4 linked regions of the Drosophila melanogaster genome follow. The protein of the gene in region 1 interacts with the protein of each later gene in a pairwise test. Each region holds a gene or a part of one and is shown in the gene's direction. Other genes may lie near its edges. The genes, in order: CG17826, Vsx2, Dora and Arr1.

Region 1 (5,006 bases):
GGTAGCTGCCCTCGTGGACTCCATTTCAATCGGGAGCTGAGGGAGTGCGACTTCCAGTGGCGAGCTAATTGCTTGGGACTCTCGGCCTTTGCCGAAGTGGATGATCAGTGTACCTGCGATTGCTGTGCTGAGGAGTGCCAGGATCCCATTGACGATATCGATGAAACTACCACGGCGGTCACCGAGGACTGCGATCCGGATACCACCACTTCAGCCACGGAACCCTCCGATTCCACGGAGCCGACGGATGCTACAACGGATTTCGATGACCCCAACAACTCCTCCAACACCACGCCTTCGAGTCCAAGTGTGGTGCCCTCGTATTGCAAAAGTTCCCGCACGGATTGCGTTAATCAGAAAACTGGCACCTATATAGATATGCCCGGGATCTGCGTGAGGTTCATCCAATGCAACAATGGTTGTGCCGAGGAATTCCAGTGTCCCTCCGGTCTGTACTTCAACACGGCGATAGACGATTGCGATTACTGGTGGAATGTGGACTGTACCCCCACCGCCGATGGCTCCACTGAGATCGAGGGACCATCGGGCACCACCTGCTCCAGTCAGGGCGAATGCGCTGGTAAGAGGGATGGCTACATGATTGCGGACCCCAATTCGAATGGATTCTTCGTCTGCCAATGCCAGTGCCCCATTGCGATGCCCTGTTCCGAGGGTCTGAAGTTCAACGAGACGGCCCAAGTGTGTGATTGGATTAAGGACACTAAATCCGCAATTGGTTCCTCGGCGGTTCAATGTTACGGTGACCTCGTCTACAACGCCACCTTAGACCAGTGCGACTATCCTGAAAACTATGTGCCCAAGGTGGAGTGCAATACCACCAGCACCGTGTGCCAAAACCAGCCGGAGGGAGAACTCTTTCCGGTGGAAGGCAAGTGCAACATGTTCTACAAGTGTAACTTCAACTGCGCCGTCGAGCAATATTGTCCGAACAACTTGGTCTACAACCCAAATACCGAAGAATGTGAATACCCCCAGGACTATGTTTGCCCGTGGGAGTATACCCCACCCTCTGGTCCCAATGCAGGACCTTCGGGAATCGCCTGCGAGAGTAATGGCCGTTGCATGGGACAACGTGAGGGTACCTACTTAAAGTCCACCACAAATTGTAGCAATTACGTCGTCTGCCAGTGTGAATGCGAGGTCGAGATGGAGTGCGCCGATGGCTTGTATTGGGACGAAAGCTTGCAGACCTGCAATTATAAGAACCAAGTGACCTGCACTCTTTAAATGACCGATTGGCAAATAAAGAAAGTGATTATCAAAGCAACTACTACTACTAGGATGTAGCCTAATCTGCCCATTTATTAATGAAACATTGGATCAGTAAATCATTTTAATCAGTTTTGTGGCGGGAATATGCCAACAGGTGTCGGCACTCAATGAGATTGGCAAGAGCTTATCGAACATAAATACCCATTTTTTTTTTTTTAATAAAGAAGGGGTATGTTTCCTGTAGGAATTTGTAGCTGGTCCAACCACTGCTATCACAATATAAAGCTTCAAAATAGTTAGTTCACATAGGTAAGTACCTATCAGTAGTTGTTCTTCTTTATACATATATGCACTATGGCGCATTGAAATTTCAATTTCAATCGATCGTTAAGACTTCTCATATATGAGCATCTTATAGCAACTGAAGAATAATTTCTTTTGGACTCTTTGATTTCGCGGATTCACAATGAACCGCTGAGTTTTATAAATAGTGACAATATCGATTGCTTGTATTACTACTGTATATATATGCTGATAGTATCACGGATGTTTCGACATTATCACCGCCACATGCTCTGATGCAGGAAGAGACATTCAATTATTTTAATTGCCGGTAAATATAAAAGGCGATATCTTCGAGCGAAGATTCATCAGTGAGCATTCGATACGCAGAGTGCAAAGATGGCCCAATCCAGAACTAAACACTATGGTAAGGACGGAGCAATGATAATTGGGAGGATGATTGTTGATCCGCGGTTTTTACCCAGGAGTGGCCCTGTGCCTAATAATTTCCCTCTTTATGGGATCGTCAAGTGCTGTGTGCTGCTCGGAGGGCGACACAAAAGTGGATGCGGATGATTGTACCAAGTATCTGATCTGCTGTCACGGCGAATTTGTATCCAAGTCGTGTGCAAGCGGATCCTATTGGAATTCGGAGTTAAATATCTGTGTCGTGGATGATGGTCAATGCAGACCTCCAACCTGTGTGGATGGAGAAATTACACCGAATCCAGATGACTGTGCCGGCTATTTAGAGTGCGTGGACGGAATCATAGTGATCCTGACCTGTCCAGATGGCGATTACTTCAATTCGACCCTAAATCGGTGCGTTGAAGATACCTGCGGCGTGTGCAACGGAAATGGAACGACATGCACTGATGGCGAACTTAAGGTGGACCCCACCAATTGCGCAGGCTACTTGGCTTGCTCGAACGGTAACTGGGTGAGCAAGCAGTGCGCTGACGGAGCTTACTTCAATGCCATACTGGAGACTTGTGTACAAGACGACGAGGGAATATGCGTCAATTGTAAAGAGGGATCTACAAAACCCTTGGCCGACTGTACCATGTATGAGATCTGTTCCGGTGGCAAGTATGTGACCAAGTCCTGCGACAGTGGTTACTACTGGAACAGCCAATCAGAGGTCTGCGATGTGGATAATGGTCAGTGCAATGGAAATGGAACGACATGCACTGATGGCGAACTTAAGGTGGACCCCACCAATTGCGCAGGCTACTTGGCTTGCTCGAACGGTAACTGGGTGAGCAAGCAGTGCGCCGACGGAGCTTACTTCAATGTCACTCTGGAGACTTGTGTACAAGACGACGAGGGAATATGTGTCAATTGTAAAGAGGGATCTACAAAACCCTTGGCCGACTGTACCATGTATGAGATCTGTTCCGGTGGCAAGTATGTGACCAAGTCCTGCGACAGTGGTTACTACTGGAACAGCCAATCAGAGGTCTGCGATGTGGATAATGGTCAGTGCAATGGAAATGGAACGACATGCACTGATGGCGAACTTAAGGTGGACCCCACCAATTGCGCAGGCTACTTGGCTTGCTCGAACGGTAACTGGGTGAGCAAGCAGTGCGCCGACGGAGCTTACTTCAATGCCACACTGGAGACTTGTGTACAAGACGACGAGGGAATATGTGTCAATTGTAAAGAGGGATCTACAAAACCCTTGGCCGACTGTACCATGTATGAGATCTGTTCCGGTGGCAAGTATGTGACCAAGTCCTGCGACAGTGGTTACTACTGGAACAGCCAATCAGAGGTCTGCGATGTGGATAATGGTCAGTGCAATGGAAATGGAACGACATGCACTGATGGCGAACTTAAGGTGGACCCCACCAATTGCGCAGGCTACTTGGCTTGCTCGAACGGTAACTGGGTGAGCAAGCAGTGCGCCGACGGAGCTTACTTCAATGCCACACTGGAGACTTGTGTACAAGACGACGAGGGAATATGTGTCAATTGTAAAGAGGGATCTACAAAACCCTTGGCCGACTGTACCATGTATGAGATCTGTTCCGGTGGCAAGTATGTGACCAAGTCCTGCGACAGTGGTTACTACTGGAACAGCCAGTCAGAGGTCTGCGATGTGGATAATGGTCAGTGCAACGGAAATGGAACGACATGCACTGAGAATGAGGTTAAGGTGAATCCTGCGGACTGCGCCGGATACCTACAGTGCATAAACGGAGTCTTTGTGGCCAGGAAGTGCTCCGCTACGCAGTTCTTCAATACCACACTGAAGGAATGCGAGGTCGACACAGAGAATGTGTGCATTCCCAAAACCTGCGATCCCGACTGCTGCGATGTGCCCAACAATTCCATCTGGCCCGTGGAGAAAAATTGCTCCGCCTTCTACCAGTGCGTAAATGGTAACAAATATGAGCAGCGGTGCTCCAACAACCTGCAATACAATTCAATAATAGAGCAGTGCGATTATCCCGAAAATGTTCAATGCGACGATGGATCTGCACCGCCAAGTGGTCCGATTGCCGGACCCTCGGGAACTTATTGCGAGAGCCACGGACGATGCGTTGGCCAGCGGGATGGTACCATGTTCGCCGATGCCAGCGGAGATTGTAGTTCTAATTATGTAGTCTGCCAGTGCGAGTGTGAGGTGAACTTCACTTGTTCCTCTGGACTTTTGTTCAATTTGCAGGTCAAATCCTGCGATTGGCCCGATAATGTTAAGTGCTAAGTGGTTTCAATAAACAATATTTAAAGCAGAGTATTAAACGAAAAGATTTTCGTTTTTCTATAGATAAAAACTACTTATTCTAAGCAGAGAATAGAAAATATTCCCCTTATTTTTAGTACTATATGATGTGGCTATATTTTCTCTGTTTAGGCTTTGGACTATTAAAAATTATTATAATTCAAGCACTTTATTGGGGTCTTAAAAAAATATAGTTAGAATCGACGTTTTTTTGACTTGCGCACAGGTTTCTTTGACTTGGATTTGCTTTCATTTAGCTTCGTCTGGCATTTTGCAATTTTGGGATAATCGCATCGTGATGTGGCTATATTGAAATGCAGGCCAGTTGGGCAGTCCATTACCAAAAACATCATGTTGCTGCAGAGCATAAACTTGCCACAATCGCTGCGATGAGCAACAAGAGAGTTTTCCTTTTCATCTGAACACACTCCTCCCGTGGTGGCAGGACCATCTGATTCTTTATTTTCTCGGGTTCCACCCGAACACTTGGCTTCTGAGGCCTTCATGCAAATGCGACGAGTTGGACTAAAATGTTGTTTGTCAGGACAAGAGCGCAGATGGGGCTTTTTTGCTTTGCAGACATAATATTCCTGGCAGGACCCGTTCTTTGTAAGCATCACTCCATCCTTCTTGCCAGCACACATTTTGTCAAGGGTTGTAGGACGCGGCTTTTTCGTCGCTTTGACAGTAACGGGAGGATCAGTTTTGGCCATTTCCTCATCATCGTCTTCGTCGCTTTCAGAACTTGACGTGTCGTCAA
Region 2 (5,390 bases), on another chromosome or scaffold:
TAAAAAAGCAGAAATAAAACAAGAAATCGCCAACATTGAACTGTAACCAATGGTTAATGGCCAGGTGAAAACTATATGGTTCTCAGCGAAATAGAGTAAAACTATATCATCAATATCGGATTACCCATAATCATCGGCGAAATTCAATATTTATTTTGACAGGATCCCCCGGCGATTGTAATTGCAAGTTAATTAACAATCAAATTCCAGTAAATAAACGAATTTCGCCTTAAAGAGCTCGCATACCCAATGAATGAATCATAATCATTCCGGGGGCAACCTGCTTAAGAAAATATCGAATTACCCGCGAAATTCTTCTAGCACGCACTCTTCGTTCGCTGCCTTCCTTTCTGCAGCCTGCCCCCGTCTCTCTCTCCCTCGCTCTCTTTCTCTCTCGCACGACCACGTTGCCTCTCTTTCTTTTATTTCCAAATGCCAGACTGCGTGGCCCGACGGATATGTACATACTTACATACATATATGTATATACATATATATGATCTGTGATTCCGTTTCGTTTCGATCCGCTCCGATTTCGCTGCGATGGCCGTGTGAGCGTTGGCATTTCAATTGTCTAATTGCCGCGTGGGTTTCTCCATAGGCAGAGCTCACTGTGTGGGGGCGTGAGAAAAGCCCCAAAAGACCCGTTTGCCTGCCACTGATCGTGGCTTTCCAATTGCTGGTGTCTTTATTTTCTTTAAATAGAAATCAATGCGTGTATATAGAATATAATCGATGCGTAACAAAATATATTTATATATTTTTTTGAGAATTAAATATCAACACGTTTTTTCTATCTGTGTATGGCCTTTTGTAGGAGATCCCTTTCGGGACCGAGTTAATTGTAAGTCCCTCAATTGCCTAGCAGTAATTTGCAAGTCCATTACAAGCTCTACTTTTCGACTGCTGCCGAAATCAAGCCGAATTATTTTGCCGAATTTCGGGACATTTCTCCGAGAACAATAACCCACATAGCACGACCCCAAAATCTCTTGAAATCCTGCAAAACTGCGCAGCAAGGACTCTCCCACTGGCACACACGCACACACTCATGCACACAGGACGTGGTGTAAATGCTAATTTACGCATTTCAATAGTACAAGTTTTTGGCGAAAATTTTAATTAGACTGCCTTTTTTTTGGGGAAGGGAAAGGCATTGTTAGGCGGCCGACAAGTGAGTAGTTTCTACCAGCTGGAAACCGAATGGTGGCTCGTTTTTTGGGCCATAAATTGGCGTCCTTCATTGAACGGAGAGCGGTTGGAGTTCCGAGTTCGAGTTCGGGTCTGCGAAATAGTTGTTTTCTTGCGCCTTTTTTTGCGCCACCCCAGCCCTGTTGACCATGCCCTCTCCCACTCTTGCGCTCTCTGGCTCTCTTTCACTCACACAAAATGGGCGCCGCACACTGTGGCAATCGGGCACCAATACAACGGCAAGCAGCGCACCAACACTAATGCGTTTCGGTCCGAACTGGAAGTTCGCGGGAAAACTGGAAGGTTACGCGTGTGCGAGAAGAGCACGGCTAGATGGTGCTTGGAAGGCGCTTGCTGCTCTCCTCACTCTAACGGCGAATGGATGTCGCACATGCGCCATGTTGCCGAGGGGAAGGCCCATATGCTGCTGACTCCCTCGCACTCGCTGAGCGGCGAAGAGTGCGGCTAGCGTGCGACAGAGACCGCCCCTGAATATTTACCGTTGCCGGGCAGCGCAGTCGACGCGAGCGTCGCTGTCGGCGCGCTGCTTTTGCCGCCGTTGCCGCCGTTACTGCTGTTGCTGCTGCTGTTGGTGTTGCTGCTGCTGCTGCAAATGTTGCTGCTGCGCTTGCCATGCGATTTGAGGTCCTCGGAAGAGCAAAGCTCCGCTGGCCGTTTACCGTTTGTTAGCTGAATGCCTCCTTGGCCAAATCCAAAGCGAAATGCAAAGCCAAGTCGAAAGCCAACCACCAGCAGCAACATAACGGCAGCAACAGCACGACAGCAACAGCAACAGCAAACAGAAACAGCAACTGCGACGACAAAACTCCTGGTGCACATTAACGCAGGCAACAGTTTAACGTGGAAATTATTGCGAATTTGTTGTGTGTTTTTCTGCGACGCGTGCCAGCGCAAAATCTCAAAACCTCCATTCGCAAATCCCATTTCGCGTAGTCTTTACAACATTGCAAAACTTGCCTTTGCTTTGTTTTTTTTTTTGTTTTCTGGGTTTCTCAATTGGGACTGCATGATGTTTTCAAGCGATTTGTTTTGACAACGGCAATATCTAGACGTAAATCGAAATATTAGCAATCGAAAATGCCGCAGCGTTCGCCATTTGCCATTCAGGAGCTGCTGGGCTTGGCGGTGGCGGCGGCCACAGAAGCGCCAACCGATCTGACGACAACTGCCGGTGCAACGGTGGCAAAAGAGCGCCAAACGCCAACGCCGCCAAAGACAACAAATGCCACAATGGCAACAGCAGCAACATCAGCAGCTACGGCAGCAACACCAACAAATGCGGCCGAAGGCAATTTAACGAGCGTTTCGGAGCCACAGCAGCAGCCGCAGCAGCAGCAACAAGAGCAGCAGCACCACCAGCCGCACCACCATCAGTACAGGGAGCACCACCAAATGACCATGGCGGCCGCCTCGCGAATGGCCTACTTCAATGCCCATGCGGCGGTGGCAGCGGCCTTTATGCCCCACCAACTGGCCGCGGCGGTGCACCATCATCATCAGCATCAGCACCAGCACCATCCACACCACCACCCGCACCACCCACACGGAGCCGTTGGCGGGCCACCGCCGCCGCCGCCGATGCAGCACCACCACCCCCACCATCCGCACCACCCGCTGCTGCACGCGCAGGGTAAGCCAATGTCCCCGCCAGCGAACCACTCAAATTGCAGTTAATTGCAGTTAGTAAAACACAGATATATATATTTTTTTCATTTATGCATATACTGAACATGGGAAAGTTGAAAAGTGCCGTAGCTAACTTACATATATTTCGCTATAGCGATTTTAAAAATCTTTTGTTCGATGTATTTACACTGACAATCAAAGCTTAAACGCAATTAGCAATCGCAACTGGTTTTGTCACCTGCCAGACACACCAACACAGGCGCACATATACACATGCTCAGATACATTTACAGATTCAGATTCAGATACAGATACATTCGATTCACACGCACACGCACACACAGTGGGGCGAATCGGTGTCTGGAGTGCCGCTTAGTTAGCATAAAAAAGGAATTAATCAGCGGTCCATCGTCCGCCAAATCAGCTTTGGCCCCACTGCAAACGACACAACGCCCGCATCCGCACCACCGCTCCACCGATCCGGCAATCCGGCAATCCGCCTCCGAAGCCACTCCAATCCAAAGCACCACCACTCAAGTTGAGCTGCTAATTGCACTGTGTGTGGATGTGTGTGTGTGAGTGTTTGTGTGTGTGTTGCACTCTGGTTTGAGCATAGCAAAAACTGGGCTTCACAATTGTTGCAATAGTTTGGGCACACTAACGACAATAGTTAGTTTTCATATTGTTTAAATAAAATTCTAGAATCAGTGGAAATCCGAATCAATTTATAATAAGCTTGGTATGCTTTTCGAGTAGGTTTTTGGTCGCTTTTGTGCCACTGTAGGTGCGCCTTTGTTTGGCGATCAGCACAGGCAATGAAACACGCACACTGCAAGAAAATCCCACACACTAACAGTGAACTCGAGTCGACCTGCTGTCTCTCTCGATTCAAAGCTCATTTGCAAGTGGCAATATCATACGAAGTTGGAGCGATGACAGTGAAGGCAGATAAACAGAAAGGCATGAAAAGCCGTGCAGGGATTGGATACACGGTAAAAAACTAGGAACTAGTTGCTGGCTGCCAGAAGTAAGCAGTTGATTAACAACATAAGCACTTCAAATTGTTATATTTCTCATTGGATTTGTGAACTATATCTGGAATGGCATTAATAACAAAATCCTGAAGCGTTTAGCCAAATTTCTTTCACTGTGAAAAGTGCGAGGCTCTGCAGATAATCTTGCAGATTCAAGTGGCAGCTGTTATTATTGTTATTATTATTTTAATTAGCGTTGAAATATCATCATCGTCATCACCGATTTCCATTGCTCTGCAACTGATTCACTGTGCCAATTTCACTGCGCACTCACTCAACTTATGTGGATATGTAGATACATATATGAGTAGATTGAATCTGATTTCTTGATTTCAAATCTGTTTACCCCTACACTTCCGGACCCTTTTTTTTGGGGTCTTATTATTATTATTTTTTTTTTTATTGATTTCGCATGTTGTGCGGCTTTCTTTTTGGCTCGATGTTTATGCGTTATTTTAATTACAATACTCCTATCCGTTTATCGCCCATTTCCACAGTTTCGTCGTAATTTGCGTTTAATAAATGTGGGAAAGAGCACTGCTCTTAGCTGCTAAATAGTTATGGGTAGTATGGGCTAGCAGACTGGGATTACAATTTAAACTATGACCAATTAGTTAAGGTTTTATAAATAGTGGTAATGTATGTAGTATGTAATAGTTGTGCTCATTAGTTTTGGTGCAATAAACAGGGCGAGTTGCTCTGCGATGATGAGAGAGAGTGGGTTGCCTCCGCTAAAAGCATATATTCTAGGGTATGTAATAGTCGTGCTCATAAATAGAGATAGAGAAAGTGGTCTGCCTGTGGTAAAAGCTTATAAATTAGGAAAGGCTTATATGTTTTAGGGTATGCAGTAGTCGTGCTTATTAGTTCACTCCCCATTTTCTTCTGTTCTGTTTAGCCGTGCTTTCTGCTTTTCATTCGCGTCATCCTATTTAATTTTGCATATTTTCAACTCGCTTCGTTGTCGTACGAATATTTCGGGTATCCGTTGTTGATTTTATACCCATTTGCGTGGCCAGCTCGTCAATTAAAAAATCGCATCAGGTTTGGTCGAATCGCGAGCGAATTTCTGGCCGGATTTCGGACGGATTTCCTGTCCAGAGCTGAGTACTTGGCGCCCTCCATTAAGTGCCTTTGATCTTTTACCAGAAGGGAAAACCCAAATCGGAAAATTGGTTGCCCAACGACAATAAGAAAAGCGCTTTTTCTTCGCACACCACACCGCCACACATTTAATTGACAATTTTCACTTTGGCTACGCGCGTCGCTTTGTTGTGACAGTCGTTTTGATGTGTTTGCACATCCCCACACACACATACAATTCAAGATTTTCCTTGTATTGGTGCACTTGTGCTGCAAAGATTTCGACAATTTACTCGCCTCTCGAAATTAACCATTTAGGATTTTCCACTTTTTAGCTGAGCATGCCAACAATGTATACAGATAATAAGTAACTAAGTTGGTATGTATGAGTTCAAAATTTAAGTTAGCCAGCTTGAGATGCTGATGCTGATCCAT
Region 3 (4,992 bases), on another chromosome or scaffold:
ATTTTGGCGAAAGACCGCGGCGGAGTGGGGCTGCGTTTCTGCAGGGTACGCATGCCGAGCGAGTAAGCCGCCGTGTCCCCCGAAGCGGTGTCCGTATCCGAGTACTCGTCATCGCTCTCGCTGGCATGTCCTGCATCCGTCTCGTACGGATCCACCTCCTTCTGATACACGTTGCTCATTTGATCCGTAAACACATCCGAAGCGACGACCCCGCCGTCGTGTTGATCCTCGTTCTCATAAAAGAAGTACGACAACTGCAGGTGCTCCTCCGCACAGTTCGTGCTCAAGGCGTCCGGAATCAAGTGGCCATTCGTCTCGAGGCGCTTCTGAATCTTTAGGAACATGTTCGGTGATACATCCATTTGGGGCAGCGTCTGCTGCGCCTGCCACTTCTCCAGCAGCGGCGGATTGGCTCCAAAAACGCCGTAGTACAGCTTGCAGGCGCGAAAGCAGCGTAGTCGGTTCGAATTTGGGCGAATGCGACGCAGCACACGCAGCTGTGACTCCACCACGTGCAAAAACATGTATTGCTGATTTCGGTTGGGCAGCGAGGTGACCAGCACCGCACGACTGGTGTTCAAACAGAGCTGAGGCAACGGTTGAGGCCACAGCGAGTGCAGCAGACGCTTGAAAAGCTGCGTTAGCGTGGAGTTTTGGAAGAAGTGGCGATCGGGGGCATTTGTCGCCGCTCCTGCGGGACGCCAACGTACTGCATCAGCCCAGATGCGAGCGGCGGCGCCATCGAACATGGTCAGCCCCAAATAACGCATGCAGCGCTGGCAGTACAAGTGATCGTCGCGATTGAGCATGCACGAACTTTCTTCGTTAAAGTTGATGACCACATAGTTGAGGCCATAGAAAAGATCCGTTTCGGCGGGCACTAAGCTAATTGGTTGGGTCTTGCCCGCTGGTCCATGATTGTGGCAAAAGAACTCAGTGGGATCCACCAAGAGGCTGGGAAACTCCCTCAACCTGCGATAGCTTCGGCCTGCCACCAATTCCGCTCGGCAATCACGACAGTTGATAGTGATGGGCTCGTTCTCCTGGCAGGAGAGGAGTAGTGGCGCCAGAGGCACGTCCACAGCGCTTCCATCCACGCTGGCCAGATCAATCTGGTTGTAGTTGAAGCGGAAACTGATGTTCCTGCCACTGACCAAGAACGTGGACAGGCAGACAATGTCCATACCATACTGCGCGTGCCGGATGAGCATCAGCTTGTCGGAGTCCTCGCTGTCGCTTTCGGAGCTGGAATCCAAGTCGATTGCCTGATTCTTAGGTTTCTCGCTGATATAAACATTGTAGTCGCGGACGACGACGCGAGTCTTCTGGCTCTGCGAAACCTGTTGGTCGAATCGCAGGAAGACCACGCCGCTGCGTAGGTTCGGGCGCAGTTCGATGCACAGCCCGGCGATGGGCATCTTGACCAGTTCCTGGGAAAGCGCGAGAAGATTGTGAACACCACCAACAAAATGGGCCTATCGTTACTTATGGTTTTTCGATATTAAGAGCGTCACTCGACAAAAACTATCGATTGTCAAGAATGAATGTCAGTGTGACCGTCATTTGAAAACTGGGAAATCGTACGCGGAAAACCGATACTATTGACCTTATCGAATATTCAGCCGAAAATGATCGAAAACCCATATCGAGTGTGTGAGCACTATCGCTGACCACTAACACCAACAACGTTTAGGAGCAAAAGAGTCGACGATGCGATGGGTAAAAACAAAGCCCCGTGTAAAAGTGTCCGAAAACCGTGCGTAGCATCAAACAAATCGTAACTCGGCCAGCGAATCTAGGTGCCGTTGTTTTCGGGGACGCGTGTGCAGTGCCGTTTTAAGTGTCGGTAATCGCCAAAATCCACAAAAAATTTAAGGATTTTTTAAAAAAACGTTCGCTAAACGCATTTCGTTCGTTCACTCACACACACACGTAAACCTAACACACGCACAGACGCAGACAAACACAACGCGCAGCGCATATACACACACAAAGAAAAGAAGGCAGTGAAAATCGACAAGCGCACGCATGCACACACACACTGACAAGCACGCAGGCGAAAAAGTGTTGATATATATCCAATATATTGATGTTGTGTGCAACGTTGTTGTTGCTGCTGCTACTGCTGTGTGAGTGAGTGAGGGCGAGCGAGAAAGAGTGAGTGCGGTGCGCGCAGGATAAAGCGAAGATGAGCCACAAAGCGAAGGAGTGAAAAAATAATTAACGGCAAAGCGGACTGCAAAGCGCAGAGCGGATAAAAGAGGAGCGTTAACAACAATAACAACGACTGGGGGTCCCCTGCAAAATCAACAACAACAGCAAGAACCACATCAACAATAATAACAGAAGCAAGAACATCAACAACAAGAACTACAACTACAAATTGGCCCTCTTATTTCGGCAGTCGCATAGCATAGCCCCATCTCGCTCTCTCGTTCGTTGGGGGATACGAAAAAGTTCACATGCAACAACAACGACAACAAACAATAGCAGTCGCAGTCGACGCGGGCAGAGGCAGCGACAGAGACCGCGGCGCACTGAACGTATTTTGTACATATAAACAAAAATAGTTTTTAAACTCCCCAAAATCTAAATCTAAACCTAAAGTTAAGTCTAAAAGGGAAACTTAGAGCCCTAAGCATAAATCTACAGTTAATAAGTTAATTAAAAGCAAGCGAGTCCGGCAGTGTGCTTGAGTTTGAAAGGGGAGAACCGAAGGAGAGGAACACAGCGAGAGAGAAAAGAGGAAGAGAAGAACGCTCAAGAGAAATTCGCCTTTTACACGATTTTAAATTGAGCGTTTGGCAGAGATCCATTATACATATACATCCATCCAAAAAGAGAGGAGAGTAACAGTGAGAGAGACGGAGGAAGAGGAAGCTGAGGAAAACAAACAAACGGGGGAGCAGCTGAAGAAGAAGAACAAGAATCAGCTTCAGCAGTAGAAGGAGCAACTGTAAACACACACAATCTCAGCCTCACGCTGGCGAATCGCAACGGCGGCAACAACAACAGAGGAGGAGGAGGCGGCGGTAACAACAACAACAATGGAGGAGGCGGAGGAGCGGCTGCAGTCGGCGCTGGCGCCGAAGGAGCAGCAGGAGGCGGCGCAGGAGCCGGAGCGGCGGGCAGAGACGCTGCAGGAGCAGCGGCCAACGAATGGAATCCGGAGGAAATGGACCGCTTCAGCTTCGACGACTCCATCCGCTTCGAGGAAGACTCCCTCTGCAGCTGGAGCTCTGAACCGGAATCGCTGTGCAACAACTGGCGCGGCTGGAAGAAGCCCGCTGCAGGCAGCGGCGCAGGCAATGGCGGCTTGAGCGGCATGGGCGGTATGGCTGTGGCCGGCGGCTCAGGAGCACCGCCGTTCGGAGGAGCAGGAGCCTCTGGTTCCTGCACACCGGGCGGCAATGGAACGGCCATGGCCAACACATCCACCTGCGGCAGACATTATGGTGAGTAGCATCTCCTTGTTGCTAGGGCGGGATTTAGGGCAGTGTACCCGGACCATTGAGCATTACACCAGTGAAACTACAGTTGTGAAAATCACAGATACAAATCTAAACTGAAGAGAGCTTCTTAAAATCCGAAAAACATTGTACAACATTGACAGTTTTTAGAGTTCGAAAAGTGTGCGTCCTAAAGATATCAAAAAAGTATCCTCTTTTATTCAGGAATTAAGAAAGACTTTCTCATAAGAAGCTTTCATATGTCGCATACAAAAGATATTGACTTCCTTAATTGTTTTTAAAACCATAAGGCAACCAAAATAGTTTATACCTATAACTTTCCCTTTACAATGAGAAACTTACATGTACATTTTATACAGATTTATATCCGTATAGCGTTAAATAATCAATTACTTGCTACACAATTTACTTTTTAAGCTAAGTAGAGTGATATGCTTTAGTTCTATGTTTTACTAGCTTGGTCGCATTTGGCTATTTGCAATATGGCTACACTGTGCTGCCTGTAATTATACGCATGACCTTTTCGCTTTTGGTAAATTCTGTAAAATTGACTTAGGCACAACAACGAGCAGGCTGTAATTGTTGTTGCCCTCTGTCTGCAATTGTCTTCTTCGTTTCCCCGCATTTCCTCGAAGTCCTCTGCTTATCGCTGAAGTCAAAATCACGACTTTGGCTGCCAACGTTTTTTATTTTCATTCGTTTATACGAGTTTCCTTTTTACCTTTTTGTTGCGTCCCTTTGTCTTTCCCTGTGGCTCATTACGCTTGTGCATGTGGCTGGGGTATTGTTTTTTTTTTTTGTTTCGGGCCTGCCAAGAGACGTTCCTTACACGTTTTCTGTATCCTGTGCGCCGCCGCACAGCACTATCATCATGTAATATCTGGATATCTGGCTGCGACTGCGCAGTTCGTCCTCGTCGCTGTTTCTCTTTCGTATCCTCCATTCGTCTTCGTCATTTGCCCATCCACTGCATTCGTTTGCTTATTTTCCTTTGTTTGACTGAGCAGTGTTGCTGTGGGGGGAAACAGGACTATATTTGGAAGGGTCAAAGGACTAAACAGAGCGGCAAAGCCGCCAAAGAACCTCCAACCATTCAGTTGTCTTCTTTGTGGATTCTTTGATAGCCAGGGTTACCAGCTTGTTGATTTTATTGATATTTATTGATACTAAGCACTAGTATTACAAAATATAGTATATGTACTAGGCAAAACTAGCTGAACTTTGCTCAATCTTAATCATTTTTATCTTTCTGTTATGTTATACAAATCTTTTACTTCCTATAAACAGAGGAGTTAGCCAAATATCTATTTGTTCATATGCTGTTGGTTTGTAAACCTAAAGGACCAATAGATAGTAGCTTAAGCTATTCGATTTTGGCGGGAAAATAGCCAAAGAGCTAGCCCTGCGACTGGGTTTGTGTGTGTGTAGTGGCGAAGCCAGCTGCATTTTCATGCTCGAAAGACATAATAACCGCATCAAAAAACTATATTGCCTCAAAACGATGTCGCTGCTGCCAGCTGAA
Region 4 (5,501 bases), on another chromosome or scaffold:
CAGCTAGCTCAATTGCGCACAAATAATAAAGTCAACCTTTTGTGGTCGTTTGCAATTTTATTGTATTGCTATAATCTGCCATATAAAGGATGGTTCAACAGACCACATATGAATTTGAGATGGTGATGGGTTTTCAAAGTATCCGTGTGATAAAAACAAAGCTTAAATAGTTTTTGCTTTAAACGCGTTGCACTTTAAAGAAGTCCTTAGAAGGTCAGCCATGCACTCAATAATATAGCTTTGCATTGTATTTCTAGAAAAAATGTCCTCTTTTAAGACAAGTGCTCATATTTCTGATATGAGTTTAGACCTATAGACGGATTGAATGTAAAAACTCTGAACGCTTTTCTAACAGAATCTTAAGAACACCTCATTTAGTAACATATTGCCATTTTTCAGGACAACACCGTGGCCATGCCTCCCGGAAAGTTCACTTGTAATGTATTTAAATGAGAGACATGCCCATAACCAGCGCCGTTTTCCTACTGGCCCACACGTCGTGAGTGCAAAAGTTTTGCTATTATTAAGGGCCTCATTGTCGGTTTTGTTGGACCCTTGGCGACTGTCCGCCGACACTTTCCCGCACTTTCCCGCCACATTTTCACACACGAAAAGGGGGGATGTAGTTGGTGGAAAACTCCGCCCCACTTGCTCGACTGTCCGGTCCCCAACCACACAATAAAGAACAATATATTTCACACAACTTTGTTCATATTTTTAATGTCAGGAGTATAATTATTACGTTCATTGACTTTGTTAAGTAGCCTACTTTATGCTAATGTGATTTCATAGCACAAAATGGAAATGGCAAATGGTGAGAGGGCCAGCAGCTTTGCATAGAATATTTTTACATAATTGAATGTGCAGGTCCTTCAACTGACAGTTACTGGTAAAGCTTAAGTTCTTATGTGTCATTATATATATACACATAACGTCTAGATTCGTTGGGAAAAATTGATTTAAATGTTTAATATAATTCAAAGAAGAATATTATTACATCTAGCTTGAAATGGGATCCTTCACCAATTATTTTGAAAATTCCGAAGCAAATACTTGGAATACTTGGAATTTATTAAGTACCTCGTTGTTATAACTAGTAGTTGTCTCCAGTTAACATAAAGCTATTATAAATGTCATAATAAACAACCGCTTATCAGTACTTAGCCGACGAGTGCTTAGGGCTCAATTAAATTAACAACAATTACGTAAATGGAAAAGAACAAAACCCACCACGTAATGTTTGGGTTTAAATACGTCATCCTAGGCGGAAAACAACAAACCAAAATACGCATACTAAATCGATTTCTCGAGCTATTTCTGTACATTCACCTGTCCTGCATTGCTAATACGCCGTGTTGCTCGCGCGTTATTTAATGTTTGAGCCATCGATGTCGATGTCGTGCTGCAATGTCAATATCAAAGACACTGCGCACAGCAAGGTTGCCGAAGCCGTAGTAGTTTACCGCCGTGCAATTGCTGAATTTCTGCTGTGCGGCTAATTGAATTTAGAGGGGCGACAGGTGCCACAATGCCAGGTATAAATGCCGGATTGCCAAAGAGCGCTAATTAATAGCCTAGTGGACCACGCAACGCGGCGTATACCATCGAGAACGAGCGCGAAACGTTAAAGGCACATCCAAAGTTTAAACTATTTCCGCAGAGATTTTGATAAACAGCTCCAAAATGGTGGTCAATTTCAAGGTGTTCAAGAAGTGTTCCCCGAACAACATGATCACGCTCTACATGAACAGGCGTGATTTTGTAGATTCCGTGACTCAGGTGGAACCCATTGGTAGGTGTCACAGACCGAAACCCTTGAGCAATGGGATTTACGAATGAGGAAATCCATCAAAAAATAAATTCGTGTAGGAATTGGTACCCATATTCGATTGAAGTATCTTATAGTTTGAAAATAACTTCAGTGTAACTTTTGTTTCAACTTAACACATTGGAATTTTTAATACCTTCCTTGAAAAGTGATATCAAATCAAAATTATATTATAAAAACTCCATTTCGAATCTGCATATGCCGACCAGCAAATATAAACTCAGGGAGTTATTCAAAATTGCATCTGAATTCAATAGCCCAGGGAGTTAAGTTAAATTGGCTGCGCTAGCAGCTAACCAAGTTCATCGATTACGCGAGCAAGCAAACCAAGAGGCTGGGCGCTTGTAAATAATATTCTCCAATTAATAAGCGTCCTCTTGCAGATGGAATCATTGTGCTGGACGATGAGTACGTGCGCCAGAACCGCAAGATCTTCGTGCAGTTGGTCTGCAATTTCCGATATGGGCGCGAGGACGACGAGATGATCGGTCTGCGGTTCCAGAAGGAACTGACCCTGGTCTCGCAGCAGGTGTGCCCACCCCAGAAGCAGGACATCCAGTTGACCAAGATGCAGGAGCGTCTGCTGAAGAAGCTTGGCTCCAATGCCTATCCCTTCGTGATGCAGATGCCACCAAGCTCGCCGGCCTCGGTGGTTCTCCAGCAGAAGGCCAGTGACGAGAGCCAGCCCTGCGGAGTCCAGTACTTCGTAAAGATCTTTACCGGAGACAGCGACTGCGATCGATCGCATCGCAGGAGCACCATTAACCTGGGCATCCGCAAGGTGCAGTACGCACCGACCAAGCAGGGCATCCAGCCCTGCACCGTCGTTCGCAAGGACTTCCTTCTGTCGCCCGGAGAGCTCGAACTGGAGGTCACCCTCGACAAGCAGCTGTACCATCACGGCGAGAAGATCTCGGTGAACATCTGCGTGCGCAACAACTCCAACAAGGTGGTGAAGAAGATCAAGGCCATGGTGCAGCAGGGCGTCGATGTGGTCCTGTTCCAGAACGGTCAGTTCCGCAACACGATCGCCTTCATGGAGACGAGCGAGGGATGTCCCCTGAACCCGGGATCCAGCCTGCAGAAGGTCATGTATCTGGTGCCCACCCTGGTGGCCAATTGCGACCGCGCAGGCATCGCCGTTGAGGGTGATATCAAGCGCAAAGACACAGCTCTGGCCTCGACCACACTGTGAGTAAAATTTATTCACATCATAGCTTAGCAGATGAAACATTAATATTATACTCTATTAAGTATCAACTTAAAATCATACCATAAAATCAATCAAATTTTAAAGTTAGGAACCTTTTTAAAAATCGTATTTTCCCGGTGACTAACAGTTCTTTAGCTAAATGTGTTTACAAAATGGCATAAAACGCATACTAATACTAAGTGAAAAATGCATATTTAAAATTCTATTTCAGTATTGCCAGTCAGGATGCGAGGGATGCCTTTGGCATAATTGTTTCATATGCTGTGAAGGTCAAGCTTTTCTTGGGAGCCCTGGGCGGCGAGCTCTGCGCTGAGCTACCATTTATTCTGATGCACCCGAAGGTAATAAAAGGTGTGCCCAAATATTTGAATAGTTATTGAAAGGCAATCAATTATTTACAGCCAAGTCGCAAGGCCCAACTGGAAGCCGAGGGCTCCATTGAGGCCTAAACTGAAAGGGCTACCTCAACCAACGAAAAAAATGGCGTATTTCTACAAGTCAAACCGATTTTTGTAGATCCTAAAAAATGCTGATGTTGCTGAAATGTTCTGAACTGCAGTCGTCGTACTTTTCCTATATAGCAAATCCAATATCCATATATTGTATGTGTGTATGTGTATTATATTTATAACTCAACTAACAATTAAATATGAACAGAGTTTATGTATGTATTTTGGAGTATTCTATTGAATTTAGCACGGTGTATTTGAAAAGGCTCCAGCATTGAAAGTTTGTATGGAATGCGCACTAAATATTTAATAATGTGCTTACGAAGGCATTTCGTAGTATTTGATATCTTGCAATGTCTGCTGATTATGTACATTGAAGTGCAATGGGGAAATCAACAGAAGCCAGTGCAATCTATTCAATTACTAATAGTGGGTCTTGCATTTGTGGCTTAGTAATTCCAATTATTGCTACTCTGAAAAGCCGAGGAGCAGCCTAATTAATACTTGGCCACTATGCTGGAGGAAGTTTACTGAACTGAATTCGAGTAAGGAAAATGGACAATAATTGATATAATATGGTGAGCTTCTTGCTGGACTTTGAAATCGTAAAATTTAAGCGAACACACTTCAAACGCATCCATTTAATTTGTGAATGTTTGCAGTCCCACTTTTAATAAGCACCCAATATTAACGATAACGCCACTCTAATCAAAATTTTCCAATAGTCAGGGTTGAAATACTGATCAATCACGCTGCCAACATTTCGGCAGACCAGGTGGGTAATGAGTTTAAAATGGTTTTGCGTAATGGGATTAATCGAATTTCATTAAGGAAGATTAGATTGCCGTCTTTGGAAGTGATCTTTTATAGTGGCTGACCATAAAAATTGCATTGCAAATACTAATTTAAGCATACATGCTATATAACCGATAAGATGGGCGAGCGTCAAGGCAAAAATAGTTGACCGTATTAATAGTTTAATCAACTAGCTTCAAGTTAATTTATAATGCGAATTAGGAAGCACTCTGGCATGCTATTAAAAACTTAAGAACTGATAAACGAAACTTAATTCCTAAAATAAAAATGTACCTAATTACTTTTATATACTATTATAAATAAAATTGTACCATGTATCGTTAAATTTGATTTAGTTACCAAGTGGTATTTGGTACGTGGCAGCATGAAATAGCTACTACTGCTAGTCTGGCTGATTAGCCAGCACTCTCAATAAACTAAGTGCAGCGTTTTGCATTTATCAGGATTTTTGGTACTCTAAACACACACTTAGATCCCAATCACCCCACAGAATAAGTTGAGCAAACCAAACCGAGCTGATTACCACAGTAGACATGATGATTAGCCGCTGCTTTATTTACTAGTGGATAATCTACTAAGCGACGCATGAATAAAAACTCGAGCGATATTTTTCCACTTTGCAGTCGCTCGAAAGCCTTTGTTTCGTCTCTCAATATGTGCTGCAGCTGCTGTGGGGTGACCCAACAAAAGGCCTGGGTCTTCGGCCTGGGAACCTTTTTCGCGGTCTCCGGACTCCTGGCCATAATATGCTGGCCTGGCTTTATAGACTCAGGGATTATGAAGGTGAGAGGCGGTGTATAAAAATAAAATTAAGGAGGAGTACTAATCGATTTATTAAAAAGGCCTTGCCGTTGACACCCACTTCAAAGACTTTTGAAAAATGGGAGGAGCTGCCCATTCCGGTGTATGTCTACATGTATCTTTGGAACTGGACAAATGCCGCAGATGTGCAGGCTAATGGAGTAAAACCTATTTTCGCGCAACTTGGACCCTATGTTTATCGAGAGGAGAGGAAGAAGATGGATCTTGAGTGGCACGACAATGGCACAGTTACCTTTAACCCCAGAAGAACTTGGTTCTGGGAAGAGGAGCTCTCTGGCGGCAAGCAAACGGATTTAATTACCGCCCCACATTTACCTTCATTGGTAGGAAATAAGCAGTTATTAAAAAACAATTTGGTCTAAAAGAAGTTTTC

The links.
Region 2: the proteins of CG17826 (region 1) and Vsx2 interact in a two-hybrid assay, tested with the Drosophila melanogaster proteins (one large-scale study listed by BioGRID).
Region 3: the proteins of CG17826 (region 1) and Dora interact in a two-hybrid assay, tested with the Drosophila melanogaster proteins (one large-scale study listed by BioGRID).
Region 4: the proteins of CG17826 (region 1) and Arr1 interact in a two-hybrid assay, tested with the Drosophila melanogaster proteins (one large-scale study listed by BioGRID).

What each region holds. Positions count from the first base shown.
Region 1 is NT_037436.4:11,947,959-11,952,964, forward strand, and holds CG17826 (uncharacterized protein), read left to right. Parts: upstream 1-1,880; 5' UTR 1,881-1,914; coding exon 1,915-1,942; intron 1,943-2,000; coding exon 2,001-4,228; 3' UTR 4,229-4,267; downstream 4,268-5,006. Other genes in the region: CG7252 (uncharacterized protein), read left to right, coding at 1-1,248; obst-G (obstructor-G), read right to left, coding at 4,441-5,006.
Region 2 is NC_004354.4:5,556,862-5,562,251, reverse strand, and holds the start of Vsx2 (visual system homeobox 2), read left to right. Parts: upstream 1-2,068; 5' UTR 2,069-2,289; coding exon 2,290-2,842; intron 2,843-5,390.
Region 3 is NC_004354.4:18,862,265-18,867,256, forward strand, and holds the start of Dora (dorado), read left to right. Parts: upstream 1-1,685; 5' UTR 1,686-3,175; coding exon 3,176-3,455; intron 3,456-4,992. Other genes in the region: CG7326 (uncharacterized protein), read right to left, coding at 1-1,418. UniProt on the Drosophila melanogaster protein: Substrate recognition component of a SCF-like E3 ubiquitin-protein ligase complex that promotes target-directed microRNA degradation (TDMD), a process that mediates degradation of microRNAs (miRNAs).
Region 4 is NT_033779.5:18,076,705-18,082,205, forward strand, and holds Arr1 (arrestin 1), read left to right. Parts: upstream 1-1,564; 5' UTR 1,565-1,683; coding exon 1,684-1,792; intron 1,793-1,944; exon of another isoform or gene 1,945-2,026; coding exon of another isoform or gene 2,027-2,093; intron 2,094-2,211; coding exon 2,212-3,019; intron 3,020-3,252; coding exon 3,253-3,382; intron 3,383-3,442; coding exon 3,443-3,490; 3' UTR 3,491-4,603; downstream 4,604-5,501. Other genes in the region: ninaD (neither inactivation nor afterpotential D), read left to right, coding at 4,961-5,089, 5,149-5,451. UniProt on the Drosophila melanogaster protein: Regulates photoreceptor cell deactivation. Arr1 and Arr2 proteins are mediators of rhodopsin inactivation and are essential for the termination of the phototransduction cascade.